2 linked regions of the Anolis sagrei genome follow. The main gene of each other region encodes a partner of the protein of the gene in region 2 in a complex. Links are inferred from orthologs where the notes say so. Each region holds a gene or a part of one and is shown on either strand. Other genes may lie near its edges.

Region 1 (10,700 bases), on a different chromosome or scaffold from region 2:
GTGAATCAAACTTGTTCTAAGGGCTCTTCCACACTGCCATATAACCCAGAATATCAAAACAGGAAATCTCACAATATCTGCTTTGAACTGGGTTGTCTGAGTCCACACTGCCATATGTTCCAGTTCAAAGTAGATATTGTGGGATTTCCTGCCTTGATATTCCGGTTTATATGCCTATGTGAAAGGGCCCTAAATCACAGTGAAAGTATTTCCATGTCACTTATTCTGTCTGCTGCGAATAAAAACCCAGAGACAAATTCTAGGGAGTTTATTATTATTCCGTCATCATATTTATCAATCATGCTAGTTTTCAGGCAGATGGGAACAGAAGTACTAATGTTGCCTTGACTCCTACTTCCCTGACTTCGAGGATCATCTTTTTAGGAGATATTGCATTCGAAAGTGGCCTGGGAAAGTTTCTAGTATGCATGCAACAATCTGTTCATTACTTTCTGGTTTTGTCTTGTTTCTGCTAATACTAAGACTCACATAGCAAGTCATTTGACAAATATCTGAGAACACAATGGCAAAACTCCTGTGCGTATTCTTTCCTATCTGTCTTGACTATACTTTAAATATCTCCAAGTCACTAAAATAATCACAGTTCCATTGCCCTCATTAATATGTTGTAGGCATTAATATATGGAATAATTGGGAGGGCCAATATTTCAAAGACACCAATACTGTACAACTAAAATATAGGTCCAATTTGCTTTCTGGTGTAAAACACATAAAATAATTAGAAAATCAGAAACAAAAATACCCTTGATAGATTGTTTAATGCAAGTAAGTAATTTGTATGATAATACATAAATTTATATGTATAAAATGAATACATGTATTTTCCAACACTATGCTTATACAGGATTGCAAACTGTATAAATGTAGGAAATAAATAATAAAAATTATTTGTCAGTGAACAGTACTATTTCTACAGTTTTACTGTCAACTCACATGACAGTACATAGCATTCTTCATGTAGTTTGCAAAATTAGCATAATGATTAAAAAATCACCTCCCATAGATTTTCTACCAAGGGAAGGCAAAAAGAAAAACATGTTATTTATGTATTTTGTATCAAAAGCACTGCACAAATAAGTATAAAACTGATAAAAATAGAAGGAGCACAAGCAACTTTTTTTTTTTTTACCAAAAACGGGCAACAGCGACTAAATTGTCTGTAGCTTTAAACAATTGTTTCTCTTTACATGAGGCAGGACATTGCGGATAAGCATACAGATGTGGAGCTGTTTGTTTTGCTCCACAGTTGCACAAGGTGGAGGATTCTTTAAAAGCATTGCTTTTAAAAGGGAGAAGTTAAGTGTAATGAAATCATCATACCTGCACTTCTATACTTTTCAAACACACTTTGAGGAGAAAACAGGGGTGCACATAGGTATTTTAGGAAGGAGATTCCAATATAAAAGGCCACAAAACATAAAGAGTAGTGGCTCATTAACAAGCATAAAGTTTCTGGGCCCCTGATGCCATTTCAGGTTATGCATCTAGAGCCCAAAATGTGGGTCACATGGTCCTCCGAATGTGATTAAATGGCAACCCAAGGAGCCAGCATAACCAACAATGAAAGGGAAGTTGAACATCTTGATTGTATGCATGAACTATCCTTGTTGTAGAGCAGCAGTGGGAACTTTGTGGCTCTCCAGATGTTGGGTTGCATCTCCCAGCATTCCTCATCATTGGCTACGCTGACAAAATTCCACCTCTGCTATTTATATAGTGTCCCATTTTTCAAATTGTGACCCCTAGTACAATATTGGCCATACCCATTAAGCAGACAGTAGGTTTGAAATATCTCCATGTTTAATTCTATTTTAATTCTTAAATTGTATTGTTTTACTGTTGTGAGCTGCTTTTGAGTCTGGATGAAGAGAGGAAAGTGGAGTATAACAACAACAACAACAACAACAGAACGGATGAGTAATGCGCCAGGACCTCAATATGACAATATAATTACAGTGAAAGTTCTGAAGTCGTTGGTTAACTTTAAGGAAGTTTAAAGACTGTAATCATATGACCAGATTGCCTCACTGGAATTCACAACTAGGGCATTTTTAAAGCAATGGAAAGTCTAGTTTCTACTTCACTTATCTCTTTGTAACATGCTTGTATCAAAGCAAGTTGAAAAGCGGGCAGAGAAAAATCCACACATGAGCAAGACAAAAAGCAAAAATAAGAAGACGGAAAATCCTGAGACATTTGAAATCCAAACATTTACTATCATATGAAACAACCCATACATCCATCTATGTGTGTTTACCATCATACTCTTAAAAATTGCTGCCCCTACTGTTTTCCACAAACCTGTCACCATACACGCACTCCGTTCCTTTGGTTTCCCAGTCAATTTCCTGTAATTTTACAATATGTAGCAGTGACCGAGCAAAGCAATTTATTTAACTAGGTTTTGTAACAGAAAAAAAGTTTTTTGTTAGGGGGAAAAGGGGGAACATTTTGAAATTCTGACCCCAACTATTTTGATGTGGGAGGGATCAGCACGTAATAGAGTTCTTTTATCTTAAGTCACAGTACTTATTGCCCCCCGGTGACGCAGTAGGTTAAACCCTTGTGCCAGCAGGACTGTTGACTGAAAGGTCAGAGGTTTGAATCTGGGGAGCATGGTGAACTCCCATCTGTCAGTTCCAGCTTCTCATGCAGAGATAGGAGAGAAGCCTCCCACAGGATGGTAAAACATTCAGACGACACCTGGGCAACGTCCTTGCAGATGACCAATTCTCTCACACCAGAAGCGACTTGCAGTTTCTCAAGTTGCTGCTGACACAGAAAAAAATCTATAATAAAAGAAATCTTGTCAACTACAAGATACAGTCCCACTATTCTAAGGCACTGGACTCCCAACTTATCAACTACAGGATATAGTTGTCCTATGCTATGGAGCCCCTGGTGGCACAGTGGGTTAAAGCGCTAAGCTGTTGAACATGCTGACCGAAAGGTCAGCGATTCGAATCTGGCAGAAGCCCCAGCTTCTGCCAACCTAGCAATTTGAAAGCATGCAAATGTGAGTAGATTAATAGGAACTCCTCAGGCAGAAAGCTAACGGCGCTCCCTGCAGTCATGCAGGCCACATGTTCTTGAAGGCGTATACAGACGACAACAGTTCTTCGGCTTAGAAATGGAAACATTATGTATATATTCAGTTTTATCATATTTATTTAGTATATTGTTATAAGTGATTTACTTAACTTGCTATACAGAGTGAAATCAAGTTTTATCAAGCCTTTTTGTTTGGTTTGGTATTGTGAAATGGCCTAAGGGCTAATCAATAAAATTTACTACTACTACTACTACCACTACTACTATTACTACTACACTACTATATAGAAATTGAGATAAGCACCACTCTCCAGAGTAGGACACAACTAGACTTAATGCCAAGGGGAAACCTTTACCTTTACTATTCTAAGGGACTGTGCCCCCAATATACCATCTCAGAATATAGTTCCCTAATGTGAAGCATTGCACTCCAAACTTGTCAGCTGCAGAAGGACTTCTTAAACTTCTTTCACTCGCAACCCCTTTTGGTCCTAGGTACATACTTGTATAAAAATCAAATACTTACTGGGAACAAATGAAGGATTGCTAAACAGGTTGGTTTTCCCTTTTTGTGCAGTACAGCTGTGAAGCATTTACTGCAGAGTCCACAGTAAACGCTGCATATTACTGCTAACCAGGTCTGGAACCAGGGGGGGGGGGGGATTAAGAAAACCTAGTTACCCAAGAATTTGTTAACCAGTTAAAATTCATGAGTAAACCAGATTTTAAACTCCCCCCCCCCCCCCGCCAACAGATTTATATAAATAGGCAGCATACCTTGGACTGTTACCAATTTTATTAAGCGAAAGGGACGCTATTTGGGGTGAGGACCCACAGCTGAAAAAGCAGCAAACAAGATATAGTTCCCCTATGCCAGTGTTTCTCAACCTGCGTGTTGGGACCCCTGGGGGGGGGGTCACAAGAGGGTTTCAGAGGGGCTTGCAAAACACAGTATTTGCTGTTGGTCATGGGGGGGGGGGTACTATATGGGAAATTTGGCCCAATTCTATTGTTCATGGGGTCCAGAATGCCCTTTGATTGTAGGTGAACTATAAATCTCAGCAACTACAACTCCCAAATGTCAAGGTCTATTTTCCCCAAACTCCACTAGTGTTCACCTTTGGGCATATTGAGTACTATCCATCCCCTGCCACGTGTGCTGCTGTGTCCCAGTCTCTGTATATGTGTTTTGTGTGTGTATATATGTGTATGTGTGTGTGTGTATTTGTGTATATGTGTATATATGTGTGTGTATATATGTGGTTTTGCGCATGTGTTGTAATGTTATTTTTTTTGTTTTTTGGCTTTTTAAGTCCTTTCTGCTGTGTGTTTTTTCTTTATTTTTGCTTTTATGAGTGATGGTCACTCGTTGGCCTGATAGGTGTCTTGTGTCCAAATTTGGTGTCAACTCGTCCAGTGGTTTTTGAGTTATGTCAATCCCACAAACTAACATTACATTTTATTTATATAGATTCGTGCCAAGTTTGGTCCAGATCCATCACTGTTTGGGTTCACAGTGTTCTCTGAATGTAGGTGAACTACAACTCCAAAACTGAAGGTCAATGCCCACCAAACCCTTCTAGTATTTTCTGTTGGTCAAGTTTGGTTTAATTCCATCCTTGGTGGAGTTCAGAATGCTCTTCGATTGTACGTCAACTATAAATCCCAGCAACTACAACTCCCAAATGACAAAATCAGCCCTCTCCCTGAACCCCACCAGCATTCAAATGTATGGGGTATTTGTGCCAAATCTGGTCCAGTGAACAAAAACACATCTGCATATCAGATATTTACATGATGATTCATAACAGTAGCAAATTACAGTTATTAAGTAGCAACGAAAATAATGTTATGGTTGGGGGGGGGGGGGTCACCACAACATGAGGAACTGTATTAAGGGGTCGTGGCGGTCGGAAAATTGGGAACCACAGTCCTAAAGGCACTGTAACCCTTATTTCTTTGGAATAACCTTCTATTCCTGGCAAATAGAGCCAAGAGTGGCTCCTTTTGGGGCCAAGCTGAGAGAAAATGATCACTTAAGGCAGGCATGGACAAACTTGGGCCCTCCAGGTGTTTTGGACTCCAACTCCCACCATTCCTAACAGCCTCAGCCCCCTTCCTTTTCCCCCTCAGCCGCTTCTAAGGCCACCCTTTCCCCTCCTAGTAAGGGAGAGGTTTCCTTCTGGATACAAAGAGAAATATAGGGGAGAAGAACCGGACAGAAAAGTTCCTCTGAACTTTCCCAAGCGCTGAAGCGGGAGAGGAAGTGGCCCTGAGGCAACCCAAGGGAGCTCCTGACCATCTCCAAAGCTGTGGCTCTCTCTCTCTCTCTCTCTCTCTCTCTCTCTCAGGAGCGTTGCTGGAACGCAAGAGGGGGAAACCTCTGGTGCGAGCTTTACCTGTGGCCCGGGCCAGCGCGGGCGTGGCGATGTGCAGCAGAGTCCACACCAAAGCGAGCTTGGCAAGCCAGCTCATGGTACATCCGTGCCTTGGGCGCCCGCGCGCGGGGGGGAGGCGGCCAGGGCTTCTTTGGGGGCTCCAGGGGGAACCACAGCCAGCCGAGGAGGCCCCGCCAGAGGCAGCCGAAGGAGCAGAGGCGGATGGGCGGCTGGGCGGCTGCTGCTGCTGCTGGGAGTGCGTGCCTCTGTGACTCACGCCCCTCCGCTCGCTGCAGCCCGGCCTGCTTGCTTGCCTGCCTGCCTGCCTGCAGGGGAAACAGGAAACCTTCGAAGTTCGCAAACAGCTGGGCAGGACTTTCTTCACTCTGGCTGGAGTTCCTTCTCCGCTGGCCCGCCCTCCTCCTCCTCCTCCTTCTCCTCTGGAACCGCTTCGCCCCAGCGCGCCCTGACAGGCACACACCGCACGCACGCACACTTCTACACACATGCAGACACACAAACACAAACTTATACACCCAGACAAGCGCATACACGCACATGTATACACACAAACATACTCGCAGACAGGCGCATATACTCACATATGTACACACAAACTTATATACGCACATACACGCACACAAACTTATACACACAGACAAGCACATGCCTATAGATGAGGCATGGGCAAACTTCGGCCCTCCAGTGTTTTAGACTTCAGCTTCCACAATTCCTAACAGACAGGCGCATACACTCAAATACATAAACACAGATTGGTGCAGACACTCATGTACATACTCACAAACTTATACACACAGACAGGCGCATACACTCACGTGCATACACACAAACTTATACACACATAAAGGCATATACATTCACATGCATACACACAAACGTATACACACAGACACGCACATACATACACACAAACTTATACACACAGAGAGGCACATACAGTCACATGCTTACACACAAACAGGCACATACACTCACATGCACACAAACAGGCACATATACTCACATACATACAAACAAACGTATACACACAGACACGCACATACATACACACAAACTTATACACACAGAGAGGCACATACAGTCACATGCATACACACAAACAGGCACATACACTCACATGCACACAAACAGGCACATATATTCACATACATACACACAAACTTATACACACAGACAGGCATATACACTCGCATACATACGCACAAACAGGCACATACACTCACATACATACACACAAACCTATACACACAGACAAGCACATGCATTCATATACTTACACACAAACAGGCACATACACTCGCATACATACACACAGACAGGTGCATACACTCACATACATACACACAACTTATACACACAGGCAGGCACATACACTCACATACATACACACAAACTTATACACACAGACAGGCACATACACTCACATACATATATACACACAAACCTACACATACTTACAGGCACACACATACACACAAACGGGCACATACACTCACATACATACACACAAACTTATACTCAAAGACAAGCACATACACTCACATACATACACACACACTTATACACACTTACAGGCACATACACTCGTAGACATACACACAAGCAGGCACATACACACAAACCTATACACACAGACAGGCACATACACTCACATACATACACACAAATTTATACACACTTACAGGCACATACACTCGCATACATACACACAAGCAGGCACATACACTCACATACATACACACAAACTTATACACACAGGCACATACACTCACATATGTACACACAAACTTATACACACAGACAGGCACATACGCTCACATACATACACACAAACTTATACACACTTACAGGCACATACACTCGCATACATACACACAAGCAGGCACATACACTCACATACATACACACAAACTTATACACACAGGCACATACACTCACATATGTACACACAAACTTATACACACAGACAGGCACATACGCTCACATACATACACACAAACTTATACACACTTACAGGCACATACACTTGCATATGTACACACAAACTTATACACACAGACAGGCACATACGCTCACATACATACACACAAACTTATACACACTTACAGGCACATACACTCGTATACATATACACAAACAGGCACATATATACATACACACAAACTGGCACATACACTCACATACCAACACACAAACTTATACACACAGACACGCACATACATACACACAAACTTATACACACAAACAGGCACATACATTCACATACACATAGACAGGTGCATACACTCTCATGCATACACACAAACTTATGCATACAGACAGGCACATACACTCACATACATACACACAAGTAAACCACAGACATGTACATACACTCACATACATACTTATACACACAGACAAGCACATACACATACATACACACAAAGTTATACGCACAGACAGATACATGCCTATAGATCAGGCATGAGCAAACTTTGGCCCTCCAGGCCTACCAGTGTGCATATGTGTGTTTATGTATAGAACAGTGGTTCTCAACCTGTGGCCCAAGCCTCCCTCCAACCTCACACGCACATGCGCACCATTCTGCTATGTGCCGAACATGCCTGCTCTCCCCTCCCCTGCTTGGTGTCTCAGAAACAGCCCTCCCCTTGGCTGAGAGGTCGGCCAATCACAGCACAGGAGAGCTTTTGGTGGGAAGATTTGCCGTCTGTTTCCAAAAAGAAAGGGAAGGACAGGCAGAGAGATCTTCGGCCTTCTCTGCTAAAGGGGTTCCTAAGGCCATCAGAAATATATGTTTTCTGATGGTCTTTGGTGACCCACTAAAACCCCCTTGTGACCCCCAGGTTGAGAAATACTGATCTAGCTTAATGCTATAGAATCATGAGTTGTAGTTTTACAAGGTCAAACAGTATTGATGTGTGATTCTTAGCCATATAATTCACCCATTAAAAGCTGCATTTAGCTGCAAATCTAAGGTTTCTTACATTTACACAGTTCTGAATTTCGTCATGCCTGCTGAGATATAATCAGTATACTGTCATGTCTGCAAAATGTATTACGCAGAACATGTTTTCTGCCTCCTGGTGCAAAAATCGGAGTGAGATAAATACATGAAGAGTTAGAAACCTGTTTTCTAAACTTTGTTGGACTATGACTCCCATTAGCTCTAGCCAGCACAGTAAAAAGGTAAAGAATGATAGGAATTGTAATATAACAATGTCCACCATTCCTGAAATACAACAAAATACTTTTGCATGGTGCTAATGAGCAACAAATTGTACTACTGTTTTGAATTTCAGAGCGTTTTGCTTTCTTTTTTCCTGTTGCTGAACCATTTCTGCTAGTTTTTACTTGTTCTGAGGAATTCATTCATCTGTTTATATTAGTGCAAAAATGTTCAGCCTCAAGCAAAGGCATTTACGGAAAGTTACACGCAGAAAAGTTTCTGTAAAAGTCTGATTTCAAACTGTCAGAAATGTACACCACATTTTGCTTGTTTCCCAGTCATAATTAAATTAGAACATCTGTTGCCCATAATCATCCTTCATATAGAGGCAACTATGGCATCGTTTTCAGTTTCTCGGAATATATAAACCAAATTTTGTTATCTTCATGATTAGTTTTAATGATGCATTTGTGCTAGAGTTCCTGAAAGGTACTAATTTTCTTCATATTTTAGGATCTAAATGCATAATAAATGAGCAGAAAGCAAGTGGAAATAGAATTGGCCTAGCCCCATGCTCCAGACAAGCTGCATTAATTCTGCAATGTAGAATTAATGCACCCTGAGTCATATTTTCAATTAAAGTTTCTTTATATATGCATGAGTATATAGGGTTTTGAATCTCAAGATTGTCATGGTGATAGCGAACAAAAATGCTTTCAAACTTGTGATCAACTTTCTTAACCACAACTGTAATGCCCTTTGCATGAAGTTGTCTTTGATAGTCCAAAGGAAGAAGCTAATTCAAAATGAGGTGGTCATCATGTTGGTGCTTGTTGAGCTGTTGCTTGCCAACCAACCAAACAAGATATTACAAACATGATCCAGGCTTTGCATTTGCTTTATTCCTATACCAGTGTTTCTCAACCTGGGGGTCGGGACCCCGGGGAGAGGGTTCATGAGGGAGTGTCAGAAGGGTCACCAAAGACCATCAGAAAACACAGTTGATCGTGGGAGTTCTATGTGCCAAGTTTGGGTCAATTTCTTCGTTGGGGGAGTTCAGAATGCTCTTTGATTATACAGGGTTAGTCAAAATGCATAGGCCAATAAGCCATTCAATTGAATGGCTTATTGGCCTATGCATTTTGACTAACCCTGTATGTCAACTGTAAATCCCAGCAACTACAACTCCCAAATGACAAAATCATGCCCCCCCCCCCCAACCCCACCAGTATTCAAATTTGGGCATATCAGGTATTTGTCCAAATTTGGCCCAGTGAATTTTTTTTGTCATGTCAGGAGCGACTTGAGAAACTGCAAGTCGCTTCTGGTGTGAGAGAATTGGCCGTCTGCAAGGACATTGCCCAGGGGATGCCCAGATGATTTGATGTTTTTATCATCCTTGTGGGAGGCTTCTCTCATGTCCCCGCATGAGGAGCTGGAGCTGATAGAGGGAGCTCATCCGCCTCTCCCGGGATTTGAACCTGCGACCTGTCGGTCTTCAGTCCTGCTGGCACAGTGGTTTAACCCACTGCACCACCGGGGGCTGCGGCCCAGTGAATGCCCAGTGAATGAAAATTCATCCTGCATATAGGATATTTACATTACGATTCATACCAGTAGCTAAATTATAGTTCTGAAGTAGCAATGAAAATAATTTAATGACTCGGGGTCACCACAACATGAGGAGCTTTATTAAGGGGTTGCAGCATTAGGAAGGTCCTAGGCTAATTATTTTGTTTTATAATTTTTATTTTTGTGTCTTGTCATTGTTTTAATCAATATTGGGAAACAGGTTTTCTGTCTCCCGCCCCTCAACATATGCAAATGGAAGCAGCTGTATAGAGAAGGGAAAGGAGGTAAAGATAAAGGAAAAGTTAACTGGTTACTTGTTAATAGAACTAATGCTACATAGTTACCTGAAGGGGATCCCTATCAAACTATTAGATCTGTAAACTAAAATACCTAGCATACTTCCCAAAAATTTCACAAATGAAAATTGAAATACATGTGACCAAAGAACATAAGCATATAGTTAAGACAGCAGAAGTTATGGTGTGAGA
Region 2 (10,700 bases):
AGGAAGGTAATGGTGCTGCATGCAGTCATGCCGGCCACATGACCTTGGAGGTGTCTATGGACAACGCCAGCTCTTCAGCTTAGAAATGGACCATCCCCCCCAGAGTTGGACACAACTAGACTTAATGCCAAGGGGAAACCTTTACCCTATTTAGTAAAGGTTTAGTAAACTACTAATGAGGAAGAAGAGACAGGTTGCCTTTGCCTATGACTACTGGGAAGGGAGAAATACTTCCCCCTATTTTCCTCTTTCTGCCACTGAATTAATTAAGTGCAAACTATATTTGTGCCAACTGAAGTAAGGGGAGGAAGTAGAAAAAGAAGGGAGAAAGTGGATATGCATCTGCACTGTAGAATCAATGAAGTTTGAACCCACTTTAATTACAATGGCACAGTGCTATGGAATCGTAGGAACCTGAAGGGCTCTTTGGCACGGGAGGCTATATGCGTTGCAAAACTAAAGCTCCCAGGATCCAATATACCATATATTCTGGCATATAAGATGACTGGGCGTATAAGACGACCCCCAACTTTTCCAGTTAAAATATAGAGTTAAGACGACTCCCATGCATAAGACTACACCCGCGTATAAGACGACCCCTGACTTTTGAGAAGATTTTCTTGGGTTAAAAAGTAGTCTTATACGCCAGAATATACTGTAAATGTAAATATCGTAAATAAATAAATGAATAAATAGTACTGAGCCATGTGTCCAATTCTGGGCACCACAATTCAAGAGAGATATTGACAAGCTGGAATGTGTCCAGAGGAGGGCGACTAAAATGATTAAGGGTCTGGAGAACAAGCCCTATGAAGAGCGGCTTAAGGAGCTGGGCATATTTAGCCTGAAGAAGAGAAGGCTGAGAGGAGATATGATAGCCATGTATAAATATGTGAGAGGAAGCCACAGGGAGGAGGGAGAAAGCTTGTTTTCTGCTTCCCTGGAGACTAGGACGCGGAACAATGGCTTCAAACTACAAGAAAGGAGATTCCATCTGAACATGAGGAAGAACTTCCTGACTCTGAGAGCCGTTCAGCAGTGGAACTCTCTGCCCCGGAGTGTGGTGGAGGTTCCTTATTTGGAAGCTTTTAAACAGAGGCTGGATGGCCTTCTGTCAGGGGTGATTTGAATGCAATATTCCTGCTTCTTGGCAGAATGGGGTTTGGACTGGATGGTCCATGAGGTCTCTTCCAACTCTTTGATTCTATGATTCTATGATTCTATGTCAGTTAATGTGGTGTCAAACTGGATTATTTTTACAGTGTAGGGGCCTATTAAAGGGCAGCTGAAAAAGTGGTACGACTGAGTTGTTGTTGGAACTGTCTCTGCCAAAACAAAAGAGATGTGATGTGGAAGTCTGCAGCGTGTTGCTTCCCTCTCTCCCCCACTCCATTACCAAGTTTCGGGGATTAAAGAGGGATTGCAAAACCTTAAATGAAGAATAGTCCTGGAGAATAAGATAATAAACACTGCTTTCCAGCTTCAGTCAATTTATGAGTCCTTCTTGGTCAAGAGTTGCCCACATAGCAAAACATATTGCTTGCATCTGCCTAGAATTCCATGCTGGGTCTTTTCAAACTTTTCAATACCTGTCATTCTTTAATTGAAGCCTGAATCTGGTGCCATGGGAAGCAAAGCATGCGCTGCACCCTGCGTGACTCTTCCCGGCCAGAACCGCACCGCTTCTGCTAGTAAAAGCGTGTTCCTTCCAGCAGCCAAAACTGTCAGCTGAAAAGGCAGGAAGCCTCAGGTCTTGCCAGGCCATGTTTTTCCTGTACTTTGCTTACGGGACAACGTTTTGGAGCAAAACAAATGGAAACACCATGCCGTGTCCTTATGGGAATGGTAAACAGTTGCCAAGTTCCAGAGTGCCAGCAATTTATTGGTTGTATTTTTATAAAAGGTGTCACACATCCCATTCGTTTTCAGTTCAAAGGGTATCATGCAAGACATCACAACTCTGGTTGAAATGATAGTTTGCAGGTTTGCAGCTGGCCCTGAGCCGGAGCTTTTAACTGCATCCTAACAGACAGAAAATGTGACAGCTTAAGCTTCTTCCTATCACTTTCTCTCCTTCTCAAAAGAAGCCTTTGTCTGTTAAATCTTTTGCTTGTCGGGATCCTGTGAAAGGCAGAGCTGTCAGGCCAGATTATAAAAAGGTGACAATTCTTTTTTGCCTTGAGGCATTGATAGGGAATCCTGAAATGCTTTGTGTATATATAGGCTTTGTGTATATATAGGCCTTTGTGTATATATAGGCCCGTCAGTATACTACACTTGGAGGACATCATCCTCGGACCACAAGGGATTGCCTAAGTAAGTAAGTAAAAGTCATATAGGACTGTCGGTTTACAGCAAACCCAAGAATTTCATAGGGTTTTGTTTTGCCAGTTCTGAAATAGAGCCTCCAGCATTTGGAGGTGGCAAAATGGATTAAACCCTTGTACTGGCAGGACTGCTGACCAAAAGATCGGCAGTTCGAATCCAGGGAGTGGGATGAGTTCCTGTCTGTCAGCTCCATCTTCTCATAGAGAGACATGAGAGATCCCTCCTACAGGATGATAAAACATCCAAGTGTCTCCTGGGCAACGTTCTTGCAGACAGCCAATTCTCTCATACCAGAAGTGACTTGCAGTTTCTCAAGTCACTCCTTGCAATTTCTCAAGTCACACGGAACAATGTCTTCAAACTACAAGAAAGGAGATTCCACCTGAACATTAGGAAGAACTTCCTTACTATGAAAGCTGTTCAGCAGTGGAACTCTCTGCCCAGGAGTGTGGTGGAGTCTACTTCTTTGGAGGCTTTTAAACAGAGGCTGGATGGCCATCTGTTGGTGGTGCTTTGAATGCAATTTTCCTGCTCCTTGGCAGAATGGGGTTGGACTGGATGGCCTACGAGGTCTCTTCCAACTCTACAATTCTATGATTCGATGATTCCTGACACACACAAAAATCCTGGTGTTCACTGATGGCATCCCACCCAAGTACTAACCAGGGCTGCCCCTGCTTAGCTTCCAAAATCAGCAAGATATAGTGCCTTTAGAGCATTGTTTCTCAAAACTTCCTAATGCCGCGACCCCTTAATACAGTTCCTCATTTGGTGGCGACCCCCAACCATAACATTATTTTTGTTGCCACTTCACAACTGTCATTTTGCTCCTGTTATGATTCATCATGTAAATATCTGATATGCAAGATGGATTTTCATTCACTGAACCAAATTTGGCACAAATACCCCATAGGGTTGGGGGGGGGGGTTAATTTTGTCATTTGGGAGTTGTAGTTGCTGGGACTTATAGTTCACTTACAACCTGAGCATTCTGAACTCTGACATTGATGGAATTGACCGAACTTGGCACACAGATCACTGGACAAAATTTGGCACAAATACCCAGTACACCTATATTTGAATACTGGTGGAGTTTTTTTTTTTGGGGGGGGGGGTCGGTTGATTTTGTCATTTGGGAGTTGTAGTTGCTGGGATTCATAATTCACCTACAATCAAAGAGCATTCTGCACTCCACTAATGATGGGATTGAACCAAACTTGGCACACAGAACTCTCATGACCAACAGAAAACATTGGAAGAGTTTGATGGGCATCGATCTTGAGTTTTGGGTGTAGGTGAACAAAATCAATCCCCTCCCCAACCCATCTAGTATTCATCGATCTTGAGTTCACCTACACCCAAAGAGCACTGAGGACTAGAACAATGATGGATCTGGACCAAACTTGGCACGAATACTCAATATGCCCCAATGTGAACACTGGTGGAGTTTCGACAAAATAGACCTTGACATCTGGGAGTTGTAGCTGTTGGGATTTATAGTTCACTTAGAATCAAAGAGTATTGTGAACTCCACCAACGATAGGATTGGGCCAAACTTTCCACACAGAACCCCCATGACCAACAGAAAATACTGTGTTTTCTGATGATCTTAGGTGGCCCCTCTGACACCCCCTTGCGACCCCTTCAGCAGTCCCAACTCCCAGGTTGAGAAACACTACTTTAGAGCATTTAGACTTAGAATTTGTTTTTCTGCTTCTTGGCAGAAAGGGGTTGTACTAGATAGCCCATGAGGTCTCTTCCAACTCTATGATGCTATGATTCTAAATAAACATCCATGTACTAGGATAAAGCATAAAATCACCCAATATAAGTGTTCGGGCTAGTTTGTTTTCCCTAACTTCAGTTTGTGTTAGTAGGTAACAAAGAAACAAGGTAACCCCACATTGCTTTTCCTTCTCCACCTCACTGTCCTCGGCTGTATCTATTGCTTTCCCAATGTTTACAAAGAAAATATCTGAAACTTTCCATCGTGCAGATAACAGGCACTGCCTTTCGACTTCCATCCCTTGCAAATCCCTAAGAGTCAATGTTCCCATTTTACAGATGGGGAAAATAAACAAGGCCAAGAAACTTAGGAAACACCAGAAAGTTTTTCACTTAAGGTCACAACAAGTGTCTTTTCCAGCCCATGTATCACAGTTTAATTACTCTATTCCAGCTCAAAATATGAGGTGTGCTGAGGTCCAATGACCTGAGGTCCATGACATCTTCTAGTAGCCTGACCTGGGAATACTTTATTAACTTTTTAACCCAATCCTCCTGAGCTTCAAAAACTAAATAGTTTATGCCCTCCTATCCAGAAAGGTGTTGCTTTCTGGATATTACTTTTTGGATTACAACCCCATAAAGTCCACACAACTGTCAGAGCCAAGTGTGGGTTTTGTAGTCCTAAAGTACCTTTTCCAATCTCTCCGAATGTGGAAGCCTAGCAAAATGTGTCCATTTCCTGCCACCGGAGAGAAAGATCAGCAAATAACTACTACTAGGTCTTCTGTAACGCATGGACCCCACTTCCTCTCCTCCCAGCCCCAGCCCAGGCCTCACCGTGGTTTAGAGGCAGCATGTTGAACCTGTGGATCTCCTTGGCGTAATACTCCTCCTGAGATGTCTCCTTGGGGTCTTCGACCACCTGCTCCCGGATCACCTCCAAGGTGCTGTTGTAGAGCGCCATGATCTCATCGGACAAGACCCTGGAGTCTGGGTCTTCCACCTCTGGTGGGCTGGAGAGCTTGAGCTTGCTGAGGATCTGGCCTCGGATGGCTTCGATGCGCTTGCGCTTCATCATGTCCATGTCCAGGGTTTTGCAGGTGGAGAAGGCCAAAGCGGAGCAAAAGTGCTCCAAGGCCAGGAGCAGGAGGAAAAGCCAGCCCACGGCCCGCCGATGCATGCCAAGGGCCCCTGGGGCACGTCGGGCATCGCTCTGCCAGCCGCAGCCTCTTGGCACCAACTGCCTCATGCTTCCTCCCACCATCTCACTTCTGCTCTTTAGCTCGGCCCCCAAAAAGGCAAAGAGAAAAAAGAAAACAAAACTTTGCTTGACGTTTACTCACTTCTTTTTAAGCCTCTGTCATCTGAAGAAGAACCTTGTTTCCTACCAATGTGCCACTTGCCATGAAGTCCTTCAAAATATATCCTAGTTTTCTTTTCTCACTAGAGTTTCTTCCTACTTGGAGTGGATCAACCATCCAGGGTGGCACTTTCTCAAAGGTGACAGGAAACTCACCTTGGCACCTCGGCTGTCCATGTGTCCGGCTGCTAGATGTACCCAGGTTCACCCTTGGCACCAGACCACGGCCGCAGCCCAAATGTCCATCTCCCAGAGAAGGCCAACACACCTTGTCTCTCTGGTTTGAGTCAAGAAAGGATCTTTTCTTAGCCAGTCAAGGGGCTCCAGCTTTACCCAAGACAAGAGGTGCCCTGAGTTCCCAGGAATGAGGCACCACACTTGCTTTGGGGACTGGGGCCAAATCCAGGGTCAAGATTCGGGAGGTTCCTCCAGGCGGCTGTGCTCTGGCTTTGCTGCTGTTGCCTCCTGCCGCTTCTTCGCTCCCCAGAGCCAGCTGGCTCTTCTTTCTTCCTCGGCAGGAAAGGCTGTAATTTTACCACTCCTGTTGGGACTTGCTGACTGAGGGCTTGGAGGTTTTTAAAGCGGGTTTTTTTCTCCTCTCCCCAGCGCCAGCTCCACCCAGGAAATGAAGGAGGGAGTCAGCAGGGCTGTATATAACTTCTTCACCAGGGGAGACTCTGGCAAAAGCAGCAAGGCTCTGGCCTGTCTTTCTGCCTGCTCTTCCTGCCTATCCTTTCTTTCTTTCTTTCTTTCTTTCTTTCTTTCTTTCTTTCTTCTCTTACCTTCTTTTCCTTGCACAGCCTCTCCATCTCTCCATACATCTTTACTCACCTCATTGTTGAATCAACCATATCTCTGAAAGTTTTGTTTCTCTTTCCTTTTTGTTTCTTTCATTCCCTTTCTCTCACTGTTGTCTTCTTTCCTCTGCACAGCCTCTCAATTTCTTCATTCATTTTTCTTTATCTAATTACTGAACTATCTACTTGCAAGTCTTTTTCTTTGTTTTCTCTCTCTCTCTCTCATTCACTCATCTTCTTTTCCCTGCATAGTCCCTCCATCTGTCTATTGCTCTTTATTCATCTCAATGATGAACCAGTCTTCTCCCTCAAGTCTTTCTTTCTTCCTTCCTCCCTCCCTTCCTCCCTCCCTTCCTTCCTTTTCTCTCTCAAACCAATTGTCTCCCTCAAGTGTTCTTTCTTTCCTTCTGTCCTTCCTTCCTTCTTTCCTTTGCTCTCTCAGAATCACTTCTCCCTCAAGTCTTCCTTCTTTCCTTCCTTTTCTTTCTCTTAGTACCAATCATCTCCCTTAAGTGTTCTTTCTTTCCATCCTTCCTTGCTTCCTTTTCTTTCTCTTAGTACCAATCTTCTCCCTCAAGTATCCCTTCCTTCCTTCCTTCCTTCCTTCCTTCCTTTCTTCCTTCCTTCCTTTTCTTTCTCTCAGAACCAATTTTCTCTCTCAACTGTTTTTCCTTTCTTCCTCCCTCCCTTTCTTTTCTTTCTCGCAGAACCAATCTTCTCCCTCAAGTATCCCTTCCTTCCTTCCTTCCTTCCTTCCTTTCTTCCTTCCTTCCTTTTCTTTCTCTCAGAACCAATTTTCTCTCTCAACTGTTTTTCCTTTCTTCCTCCCTCCCTTTCTTTTCTTTCTCGCAGAACCAATCTTCTCCCTCAAGTATCCCTTCCTTCCTTCCTTCCTTCCTTCCTTCCTTCCTTCCTTCCTTCCTTCCTTCCTTCCTTTTCTTTCTCTCAGAACCAGTCTTCTCCCTCAAGTGTTTTCCTTCCTTCCTTTCCTTTCCTTTTGTTTCTCTCAGAACCAATCTTCTCCCTTTCTTTCTTTCTTTCTTTCTTTCCTTCCTTCCTTCCTTCCATCCATCCATCCATCCATCCATCCATCCATCCATCTATTCATCCTTTTTCTTTCTCTCAGAACTGATCTTCTTCCTCAAGTGTTTCCCTTCCTTCTTTCCTTCCTTCCTTTTCTTTCTTTCTCTCTCTTTTCCTTCCATATCCTCCTCTCTCCATTCACCTTTCTTCACCTCATTGCTGAGCCAACTATTTCCCCACAAGAGATCTTGCTTGCTTGCTTGATTTTTCTCTTTCTTTCATCTTCTCTTCGATGCATAGCCTCTCCAGCTCTGTTCATCTCTCTTTACCTTTTTGCTGAACTATCTCTTAGGAAGTCTTCTTGACTCTTCTCTTCACTTTTCTCTCTTCCTCTTCTTTGCTTTCTCTTTTGTTTAAAAAATGATTCAGCGCAAGGCAGAAGCGATGGGCCAAACTCAGGCGCAGCCTCTGCTTTCGCTTTGAGAAGGATCTTTTTTATTACAGGAGATTAGATAACGCTTTCAGTGGCTCTTCTAACTCGGCGGCAGCTTCTGTGCTCAGGCAGCTGAGGAAGGGGCTCCTGGACTAGATAACGCCTGCTTCAAGTCAAGGGAAATACCTTCAGGCTGGAAGGCCTGGATTCAAGTTTCGCCTCTGCCCATGACTCATGTCAGTAGCCCCGGGGGAATGTTTCCTGAGCTCACATGATATGGCTTTGTTGTGGTCATGTCACAATGAGGACCCAGGTGGGGTTTTTTCCTACAAGTTGCATTTCCTGAAAATACACCACACTCATTTTAATACTTTCGTTGTCATATACTTTCAAGTCATTTCTGACTTATGGGTTTTCTTGGCAAGATGTGTTTTGAGTGGGTTTTCCTTTGCCTTCACCCTAGATCTCCCACTCAAAAGTGCAATATCACCCAGACTCTCTATACATCGCTATCACTATTATTCCTGATCCATTCTGAATAGTATTTGTGTATTCAAAACACATGGCCTGAAGTTGGTCAAGCTAGGCCATATTCTGCAGATAGTAGCTGACATTAAGAGAACAAGGACCCATTCACTGCTGTCTCACAAACCCTTGGTCAAAAGAAATATCCAAATGCTATTCCATTCTAAGCAATTACAACATCATATAGATCAGTGGTTCTCAACCTTCCTAATGGCACAGTTCCTTATGCTATGGGGACCCCCAACCATAAAATTATTATGTTGCCACTTCATAACTCTAATTTTTCTATTGTTATGCATTGTAATGTAAATATCTGATATCAGGATGCATTTTATTCATTGGACCAAATTTGGCACAAATACACAATATGCCCAAATTTGAATACAGGTAGGCTTGGGGGGGGGATTGATTTTGTCATTTGGGATGTATAGTTCACCTACAGTCAAATAACATTTTGGACTCCAGCAATGATGGAATTAAACCAAAATTGGCACATAGAACTCCCATGACCAAAAGAAAATACTGAAAGGGTTTGGTGGGCATTGACCTTGAGTTTTGGAGTTGGAGTTGTAGTTCACCTACAACTGTGGACTCGAACAATGATGGATCTGGACCAAACTTGGCACAGATACTCAATATGCCCAAATGTGAACACTGGTGGAGTTTGGGGAAAACAGGCATTGACATTTGGGAGTTGTAGTGGCTGGGATTTATAGTTCACCTACAATCAAAGAGCATTCTGAACCCCACCAATGATAAAATTGGGCAAAACATCTCACATAGAACCCTCATGACCAACAGAAAATACTGTGTTTTCTGATGGTCTTTGGTTACCCCTCTGAAAACCCCTCGTGACCCACCCAGGTGTCCTGACCTCCAAGTTGAGAAACACTGATATAGAAATAAGAATGTGTGCTGGTTATATATCTAACATTTCACAGGTAAAAACCAAGCAACATCCAAGGTGAAGTAAAGGTATAGGTTTCCCCTGACATTAAGTCTATCCACAAGCATGTGGGCAATTTCAACAGGAAGGAGGAAACCATGAAAATGAACAAAATCTGGCTACCAGTACTAAAAAAAACCCTAAAATTACAACAGCAAAACAACAGAGGGGAAACAATCAGGCACATCTAATCACCTCTCAACAAAAGATTGCCCCAGGCACTGCCAGACCATAAAATGCTAATCAAGGTGGTCAGTTGAAACATTCACACCTAGCTCCAACAGATAAGAGTTCTTTGCCCCACCGTGGTCATTCCACAGATACATAAACCCACTTTCCTAGTTCCAAAAGACCTCACTGCCTCTGAGGATGTTTGCCATAGATGCAGGCGAAATGTCAGGAGAAAATGCCTCTAGAACACGGCTATATAGCCTGAAAAAACCTACAACAACCCAGTGATTCCGGCCATGAAAGCCTTCGACAATACATTAAGCCAAGTCATTTTCGACTCTGGGGAGTGGTGCTTATCTCCATTTCTAAGCCAGTGTTGTCCATAAAATATTTATAATATTATAATGTAATGCAATATAATACTACTACTACTAACAATAACAATAATATGATATTATAATTATATATTTATATTACATGTAATATTACCAATAATATTACAATATAATGGTATAGTACAATATAGTAATATTTAATACTGATATTGTACTATGCTACTAACTTAATATATTGTATGCATATATATCTTGTAAGCCGCTCTGAGTCTCCTTTGGGGGGGGGGGACTCAAGCCCCGCCTTCATCACAAGTGAGATTGGCGGGGACAAAGAGCAGGGCCTTCTCGGTGGTGGCCCCTCACCTATGGAATTCACTCCCTGGGGAAATTAGATCATCGTCATCCCTCCTTTCCTTTAGAAGGAAATTAAAAACATGGATTTGGGACCAGGCGTTTGGGCAATCTGGCAGATAAATAAAGGACAATGATGACTGATAGGAATGGAAAATGTGGAATGAAGCTATGGACTCTGAGTTGCGAACGTTGAGCATAAGATTGCTTTTTATTGACTGTGATATATATTGATTGTTCTTAACTGTTATAACTGTTTTTAATTGCTGTCTATATCTTATTTGTATTACTGTGTAGGCATCGAATTGTGCCTTTTTGTAAGCCGCCCTGAGTCAACCCTCAGGGGTTGAGAAGGGCGGGGTAGAAGTACATGAACTAAATAATAAAAATAAAAATAAAATATAAATGTCATAAATAAATAAAGGTCATGCAGTCATGACTGCATGGTGCGCCAATATCTTCTTGCATTCGACAACAGAAGCGGTACATATTGATCTATTCACATTTGCATGTTTTTGAACTGCTAGGTTGGCAGAAGCTGGGGCTAACAGCAGGAGCTCACCCCACTTCCCAGATTCGAACTGCCAACCTTTCAGCCAGCAAATTTAGCAGATAAGTGGTTTAACCCGCTGCACTATGAGAGAGCCCCTTGCAACATCCAAACATGGTTAAAATAGAAAGTTGGGAGAGTCTGCAGCAGTTT

What was found. Proteins that work in one complex are often made in the same cells at the same time.
Region 1: the proteins of TGFB1 (region 2) and TGFBR2 are in contact, whole or in part, in a cryo-EM structure (PDB 9FKP), measured with the Homo sapiens proteins. The link is inferred for Anolis sagrei from reciprocal best matches to the Homo sapiens genes TGFB1 and TGFBR2. Residues at the interface, in NP_000651.3 of Homo sapiens: Arg303, Lys309, Trp310, His312, Tyr368, Tyr369, Val370, Gly371, Arg372, Lys373; in NP_003233.4 of Homo sapiens: Phe47, Leu50, Phe53, Asp55, Ser72, Ile73, Thr74, Ser75, Ile76, Cys77, Glu78, Val100, Asp141, Glu142.

The regions. Positions count from the first base shown.
Region 1 is NC_090026.1:82,525,816-82,536,515, forward strand, and holds the start of TGFBR2 (TGF-beta receptor type-2), read right to left. Parts: upstream 5,845-10,700; 5' UTR 5,548-5,844; coding exon 5,472-5,547; intron 1-5,471. UniProt on the Homo sapiens protein: Transmembrane serine/threonine kinase forming with the TGF-beta type I serine/threonine kinase receptor, TGFBR1, the non-promiscuous receptor for the TGF-beta cytokines TGFB1, TGFB2 and TGFB3.
Region 2 is NC_090034.1:98,781,289-98,791,988, forward strand, and holds the start of TGFB1 (transforming growth factor beta-1 proprotein), read right to left. Parts: upstream 6,095-10,700; 5' UTR 5,321-6,094; coding exon 4,894-5,320; intron 1-4,893. UniProt on the Homo sapiens protein: Transforming growth factor beta-1 proprotein: Precursor of the Latency-associated peptide (LAP) and Transforming growth factor beta-1 (TGF-beta-1) chains, which constitute the regulatory and active subunit of TGF-beta-1, respectively.